Linked DNA regions of Xenopus tropicalis. The protein of the gene in region 1 interacts with the protein of each later gene in a biochemical or structural test. Links are inferred from orthologs where the notes say so. Each region holds a gene or a part of one and is shown on either strand. Other genes may lie near its edges.

The links. The genes of interacting proteins can lie anywhere in the genome.
Region 2: the proteins of shank1 (region 1) and wwtr1 interact in a test that uses a peptide from one of them, tested with the Homo sapiens proteins (2 studies listed by IntAct, with this or other methods). The link is inferred for Xenopus tropicalis from reciprocal best matches to the Homo sapiens genes SHANK1 and WWTR1.

Annotation. Positions count from the first base shown.
Region 1 is NC_030683.2:110,063,336-110,066,994, forward strand, and holds part of shank1 (SH3 and multiple ankyrin repeat domains protein 1), read right to left. Parts: intron 2,889-3,659; coding exon 2,865-2,888; intron 348-2,864; coding exon 291-347; intron 189-290; coding exon 64-188; intron 1-63. UniProt on the Homo sapiens protein: Seems to be an adapter protein in the postsynaptic density (PSD) of excitatory synapses that interconnects receptors of the postsynaptic membrane including NMDA-type and metabotropic glutamate receptors via complexes with GKAP/PSD-95 and Homer, respectively, and the actin-based cytoskeleton.
Region 2 is NC_030681.2:122,437,567-122,441,325, forward strand, and holds the start of wwtr1 (WW domain-containing transcription regulator protein 1), read right to left. Parts: upstream 2,407-3,759; coding exon 2,000-2,406; intron 1-1,999. UniProt on the Homo sapiens protein: Transcriptional coactivator which acts as a downstream regulatory target in the Hippo signaling pathway that plays a pivotal role in organ size control and tumor suppression by restricting proliferation and promoting apoptosis.

The DNA of each region.
Region 1 (3,659 bases):
TGTTTAGTTTCCACTGGATAACACAGGAAAAGACCAACAGTTTCATCTCAAATGACATAATACCTCTGCAGAGAAAAATCCCTTTCCAGCAGCCCTGGATGCTCCCATTGAAGCCAGAGTCCCTGGACTAGAGCTCTCATTGACACTGATTGTCTGCTGGGCTGCAGCCAAGATTTCATCCAGTTTATCTGTAAGTGGAGAAATGAGTTGACTACCAGTTTCACTTGAATGCTGATGCTGAAATAACCCAACTGACTGTGAAGTTAAATCTTATTGTGCTCTTTTCTTACTTAGTGCCATTTGGTACACCGTTCTTTTCTTCTCTGTATTCTGGGGTGGTTCATAATCTGAAAGAAAAAAATGTCAATAATAAACATGTTGGGCATAAACAACAAGACAACCCACTACAGGAGCAAATATAAACATCTTTAGCTATTAAAACTGAACAGGGGCACACAACACTTTAAAGAGGTTACTTATTGTATACTTTGTTCCCCTTCAAACAACTGTTCTCCCCACGGCCACTAGGGGTAAGCGGGAGAGGAAGCCTAACTAAATAATACCATTGAATTTATCTATCTGATCGTTATATATATTTAATTAAGCATTATATAAATTAATATTATATATACTTTTGTAACATATTAACTCTGTTGCATAAATCTATTTTTCTGGTGAAAAAGCTAAGAAAATTTGCTTGAACTCTACAAAATAAAAAAAAATAAAAAAAAAAAAATCTAAAAGGGACAATATGGACCTAACATGAAACATTCCCAGCGGCTGTGGGAGTGAGTACTGGCAGAGTTCATTGCATGACACAGAATCTCTTGGAACCCATTTATTCAAGAGCATTAACTCTTTCTCCATTATATTAATAACACTGCTATTAACTTGCTTGTGCCATCATTTTATTCTAAGCAATTTTCAGCAGTAATTAAACATAACTAATATTTTTATTATGTTCTAAAATGTATTTATGATGCATGATATTCAAGATAATCATCTGATGCTAAATGAGGGTGATACTCTAATACTGGTGGCTTATCATGACCTATTTATACCCCAGGCAGGAAGGAAGGAGGCATTATTGGGGTGTAACTGGGTGTGAATTGAATTAGCATGGTCATCCAAAATCATTTCCCAGGAGCCTGGTGTCTCCTGAGTCTTCCACAAACAAGCTAAAGACTGCTCCCACTAATTGCTACCAAATGCTCCCATTTGTACAGATCTCTACAATGAAAACTTGGGATAAATCATGGTGCCAAATTTTACCCTATCCCCATTGTGAATCCAATATGCTCCCAGTACTCACATATAAATATATATGTAAATCTCTATATTGCATGCTACTGAATTACATTCTGTCACATTACAAGGTAGGAGGTGAGGGTTAGAGTCCACTTAAAGAGCCAATGGCTGCATTATTTTAGTGGAACCCAGAACCACATTCATGGAGCAAAATAACATTACAGAAGCTCCTTAAAACTACTATATACACTCCTATGAACATGAAACTCAAGTCTCATTTGGGTCAAAGTCACGTTCCCTGGCTGAGAAAATAAAATAAGACAGCCCTGGGGTAGGTAGTACAGATCATAGCTCTGTAACTAAGTACTGGGGCAATTTTGATGCACTTATTAGTGAGACTAATATAAATAGGGCCATTTACAATGTACAGAGAGTGTGGAACCATAAGGGCAGGGGTACATGGGGAGATTAGTGGCACCGTGACAAACCTCTGTTGTCGCGGGCGACTAATCTCCCCGCAATGCCATCCCACTGGCTAGAATGTAAATCACTGGTGGGATGGCATACGTGGCACCGCGATTTGCCAAAGTTGTCTTGAGACGAAGATTTGTCACGCGGTGACTAATCTCCCCGTGTGTCACTGCCCTAAAAAAGCACTATTACATTTGTGTTTTTTATACTATATAAATTATATAAATAAAATAGTTTTCTTCAGTTGTATATTTTAACCAATCCCATGATTTCTGCAAGAGACAAAGCCGTCCCACCTTGTGTCAGGGAGGAGTAAGCAATGTAATCTCTGGTTGTTGGATGGCCTATATAACTGACCAAAGATGGAGTGTGATTTATTGAAGCATCAAGCATTCATGGCCAAACCACTGATTAAATAGTGGGATGTGCACTGTGTGCACAAGGTGGCACAATAAAGCCTCTTCCATCTGTTGCTTGATAACTGGAACTGTTAACATTCTAAGAACAACTAATCAATGTAATGCCTCATAAATTCTATATCATTCAATATGGTCAGGGTCTCTGTATCAGAGTCAATCTCTATATTAGTGGAAAGATTTCAGTATGAAAGATTGAAATGTGATTTGCTAATGGAAGGGATCCTCAACCTTTTTTACCTGTGAGCCACATTCAAATGTAAAAAGAGTTGGAGAGCAACACAAGCATGAAAAATGTTTCTGGGGTTACAAATAAGGGCTCTGACTGGTGCCTTGGCAGCCCCTATGTAGACTGGCAGCCTACAGAAGGTTCTGTTTGTCACTACACCTGGTTTTTATGCAACCAAAACCAACCAGGAATTCAAAAATAAGCACCTGCTTAAGGCCACTGGGAGCAACATCCAAGGGGTTGGGGAGCAACATGTTGCTTAGGAGCCACTGGTTGGGGATCACTGGCTTATGGTATCAGAACAATAAGCCACCTCTTGTGCAAAGTAAGTCTAGTGCACAGTAGAAGGGATCGGCACCCCCACAATTCACGTAAAACTAGATAGGATTCGTTGAGTTACTAATTATCTTGAATTTAAATAATAGTATTAGTCAGGTCACAGAAATTCATGTTCACATTTGAAATCATCATCTTGGCCATCAGCAATCCAATATACTCACCATTTTTCTTTTTCCAGGGTGAAACTAGGAAAAGCAGCAAAGAGTCAGTCAGATAAGCACATTTTCAAGCCTTTGTACAAGCCCATGTGAGCAGTCCTTACTCATCCCTCCCACCGCTCGCAGCAAAATTAAGGTGAACATAACTTACACTTGATATTTTGAGGCTCCTCCGCATGCCAGTCTCCATTCCCTCAGTAATGGATCCTTGCTGCTGAGAGCTACCTTACCATCAAAATGTGGGGTGGATGTGGCTGGTGGTTTGGGTAGGGTAATGTATGGCCTCTGGATTTACCTAATCACCTAAAATGGGTGCAAATGGTGTCTTGCAATCAGGATATAAAGTTTGAATTTTGCATAACAACTTACTGTAGAAAGGAGATAAACCGTGAACTGACGGCACGGATAGTAGAATTCTACACTGCTGTCGTAATGTTTTATTCCCAGGGACGAGAAGTGCATGTGAGTTATGTTTGGCTGTAAATTTTATGGGAAATTGGAAAATGCAGATTTATGTCTTATACGGACATTCAACCATAAATTGTGCTGTATTTTAGCCATTTGAAGATCTGATTTAAAGGGTCTCATAATCTGTTTTTTTGTGCTACGCCCATATAGATTTATCCATGTCTGAATCCTATCAAAATGTCAAGCCGTTCAGTGATAAGAAGAACTCATTATCACTGATGGGCGACAGTGCAGACATGGGAAGGGATTGTGTCCATGGTTGTGTGAATGTTCAGAGCAGTATTTCATGACTTTAGATGATCTGACCTAGATTAATGTTGTCTATAAATT
Region 2 (3,759 bases), on another chromosome or scaffold:
GTAAATCCTTAGAATTCACTAGAAGGATATATCTCCCAGTTTCAGGAAAGCATTTACTAGCAAAGGCACTGTATGACTATGTATGATGAATGTGGCAGTCAGTGTTTCCAGGTCTCTTCCTGCATGTAAATAACAATGATGTACAATGTATCAAATGTTGCTATCCTGCTAAATGAGAAGTAGACCAGACTGATTCCTATTAGCACCCTAGTGCAAGGGCTTCAACTTTGTTAAGACCAAGCTTCATAGCCCTAGACCCAGACCGAACCAGTTACAACAAGAAAGCAGCCCTGCTGTAAGTGATGCAAGAATAATTACAGCATCAGATCCAGATGGGAGGACATTACAGTCCCAGACACATCACCTTCTGCTGGCTACCATTTCTCCAAATTGTTTCCTCAGTTCCAAGCACCACGTTACAGACTCTACTAGCCGGACTCACTATTTGCACTACCAGGCAGGTGTCTATTACATCTTTAGGTACCAGAGTATATGAGATGCTGGCACTTCATGTTCCCACCCAGTGAAAGTATTCAATAAAAGACAGTTTGTGGACAACAAAAAGGTTACAAACAAAACAGATTTAGTACAACTTTTAGATTTAAATACCGCAGTGACAGAACTGCTCTCAGACAGCTGTTGTTGTACTACAGCTCTCACTGAAGTTGTAATTTAAAGGAACAGTAACTCCAAAAAATGAAAGAGCTTTAAAGTAATAAAGATATAATGCCCTGTGGCCCGGCACTGGTAAAACTGGAGTGTTTGCTACAGTAACACTACTATAATTTATATAATAAGCTGCTGTGTAGCCCTGGGGGCAGCCATTCAAGCTGGAAAAAAGGAGAAAAGGCACAGGTTACATTGCAGATAACAGATAAGTTCTGTAGAATACAATAGTGTTTTATCTGTTATCTGCTATGTGCCTGTGCCTTTTCTCCTTTGAATGGCTGATTCCATGGCTACACAGCAGCTTATTTATATAAATTATAGTAGCCTTTCTGAAGTAAACACACAACTTTTACCAGTGCAGGGCAGCAGCACATTATATTTTAGTTACTTTTATACACTTTCATTTTTTGGTGTTACTGTTCCTTTAAGAGCTAGAGAAGGGAGCCACATACTGGACACTCGTGGATATATCTTAAAGGAACAGTAACACCAAAAAATAAAAGAGCTTTAAAGTAATAAAAATATAATGCACTGTTGCCCTGCACTGGTAAAACTGGTGTGTTTGCTACAGTAACACTACTATAATGTATATAATAAGCTGCTGTGTAGCCACGGGGGCAGCCATTCAAGCTGGAAAAAAGGAGAAAAGGCACAGGTTACATTGCAGATAACAGATAAGTTCTGTAGAATACAATAGTGTTTTATCTGTTATCTGCTATGTGCCTGTGCCTTTTCTCCTTTGAATGGCTGCCTCCATGGCTACATGGCAGCTTATTTATATAAATTATAGTAGACTTTCTGAAGTAAACACACAACTTTTACCAGTGCAGCGCAGCAGCACATTATATTTTAGTTACTTTTATACACTTTCATTTTTTGGTGTTACTGTTCCTTTAAATATCTTAACACTCAGTCAGAAAGTTTTAAAATGGTCTTCATTTTTATGTTTTCAATTATTTACCTTCATCATCAGCCTCTTTCTGGCTTGCAACTTAAAATGTATTCAGGTTGTGGTGACTGATCCCAGCAGCCTAAAAACTATTGCCCTGTGTGGCTCCAATTGCAGCATTATTGTTATTTTACCTGGACCTGCTCCTATTCATTTTTCAGTCCATTACTCTCACCACTGTCTGGTTTCTAGGGTTAACTGGACCCTAACAACCAGATAGATGCTACACAAAAAGCTCAATAATTGAAAAACACAGAAACTAAAGAAAAGACTATAAAAAGAAAAAATGTCTAAGGATAACTGTATGCAGACTTAAAGAACTGGCATAACCCTGTATAGATGGGGGTAATATCAAGCACAGCCAGCACTGCCCTCACTTACTTGAGAAAGTATCTCTGTCCCGTATGTGTGAATGCCATTTCCCACCCCGGCGGCAGGGGGAGCTCATCTGTCACATCGTAAGACTGCTGGCGCAAGTGAGCGTGTAGCTGAGCGGTACTTGGCGCAGTGCTGGTAGCAGTCCCTTGCTGCAGTGATGCCGGGGATGAGTTGGATCGGAAGTGAATTCCCTGCCTGGGGGGATGGCTGCCCGAGTCTGTGCTGGACTGCCTGGAGTGGGACCCCGAGTCGGGCTCCTTGAAGAACGACTCCGGGAGAATCTTCTTTCTCCAAGAACTTGGCTTCGGGTTCATGACCGAATTAAACAGAGCTTCGAGATCCGTGTCCAGGTCCTGGGTAACATGGATCACTTGCTGCCCCGGCGGTGGGAGATGTGGGCTCGGATTCATCTTTGCAGCACCGACACAAACGGGAGCTCCCTGGTGCAACAGAACCGAGCTGCTACGTCTCAGGGCAGCCTCAATACCCCGACAAGGGAAACGAATACTTTCCGAATCAGAACAATACGATAAAGATCCAGTGGAAGTTCTGTTTCCTGCAGGAATATCGGTACGATGGGGGGGGAGGGAGCAGAAGAATCTGCGCTAGGAGCGCTGCGAGTCTGTGCGTCCCAATGAGTGCGACTCTGCCCGTGACGTCACATGGAGAAAAGTTTCTCTTGTGTCCCTGTAAGCCGGGAGCAGCCCTCAGGAATTAGAGCCGGGCCAATCAGAGCGCTGCGTGGGACGGGTTCACTCCCAGAGCCCGGCTTGTCCCAAACAAAGTAAGAAAAATGTCAACTCACGGGATAGGGGAAGGCGTCTCTGGGCAGAACCCCCTGCGCTCCGCTGAATTATACATAAGCCGCCGCGATATGTCTGTGTGTGTGTGGGAAGGACTAGCGCTTGCCCTGCCCTGCTCCGGCTCCTCTCCAGGCACCGGGACTTTACCTTACAGGGCAACAGCCTTAGGCTTTCCCTCCTACGTGCAGCGGCTCGGGTTACACGTGTGGGAGAGAGAGCGCAGGAGTCCGGCTGTACTGTCCCGGGGGCTGTGGAGGGAGGCGCTTTAATAGCTCAGCGGAGCGTTACTATCCCTTTACCGTGCCCATAATATCAACCGTACTGCACTCTCTGCCTGCCTGGCCCTTTCCGCGCATCTAACCCTTTCCTGTATCCATACGCTGATATATAAGGAGCTGTACCAATGCTTCTCTACCCACCTGGCGTTTTGGCGCCTTCTTGGCTCATACACGTTTGGACTCTGAATTAAAAGAAAATGCTCCATTTGAGTCAAAGTCTTGCAACAATTAAAAACTCATATCTTTTTAGTCATAGTTTTTAATATTTCTATAGCAGATTTCATGATTTGGGGTAAGGCCAGAATTTAAGAGAAACTTATCCTAAAGCTAGAAGCTGTCATGCTGTAAAAGCTTGGGTTGCCACAATTTCTAGAAAAAACACCTGTCTTCTAGGCTCTGACTGGCAATCTGTGGATGTAGGCAAATGCCAGAAGGGCTGATGTGAAATGCCATAGACACTCACTATTGGGCCTATAAGGGGGGATGTTTGGGCCTCTGTAATTGAAATGCCAGGGCCTATTTTCAATCCTAGTCCAGACCTGCTCACTTCCTATTTATTTATCTGTTTCTTGCCTGGTAATAACATTGGCATGTAACATTTTTTATGTACAGGTAAAGAAATCCTGGATTTGCTTTGTATGACTATTTTTGTGCCCCAGCACAGCACCCTGCACTGGGAATG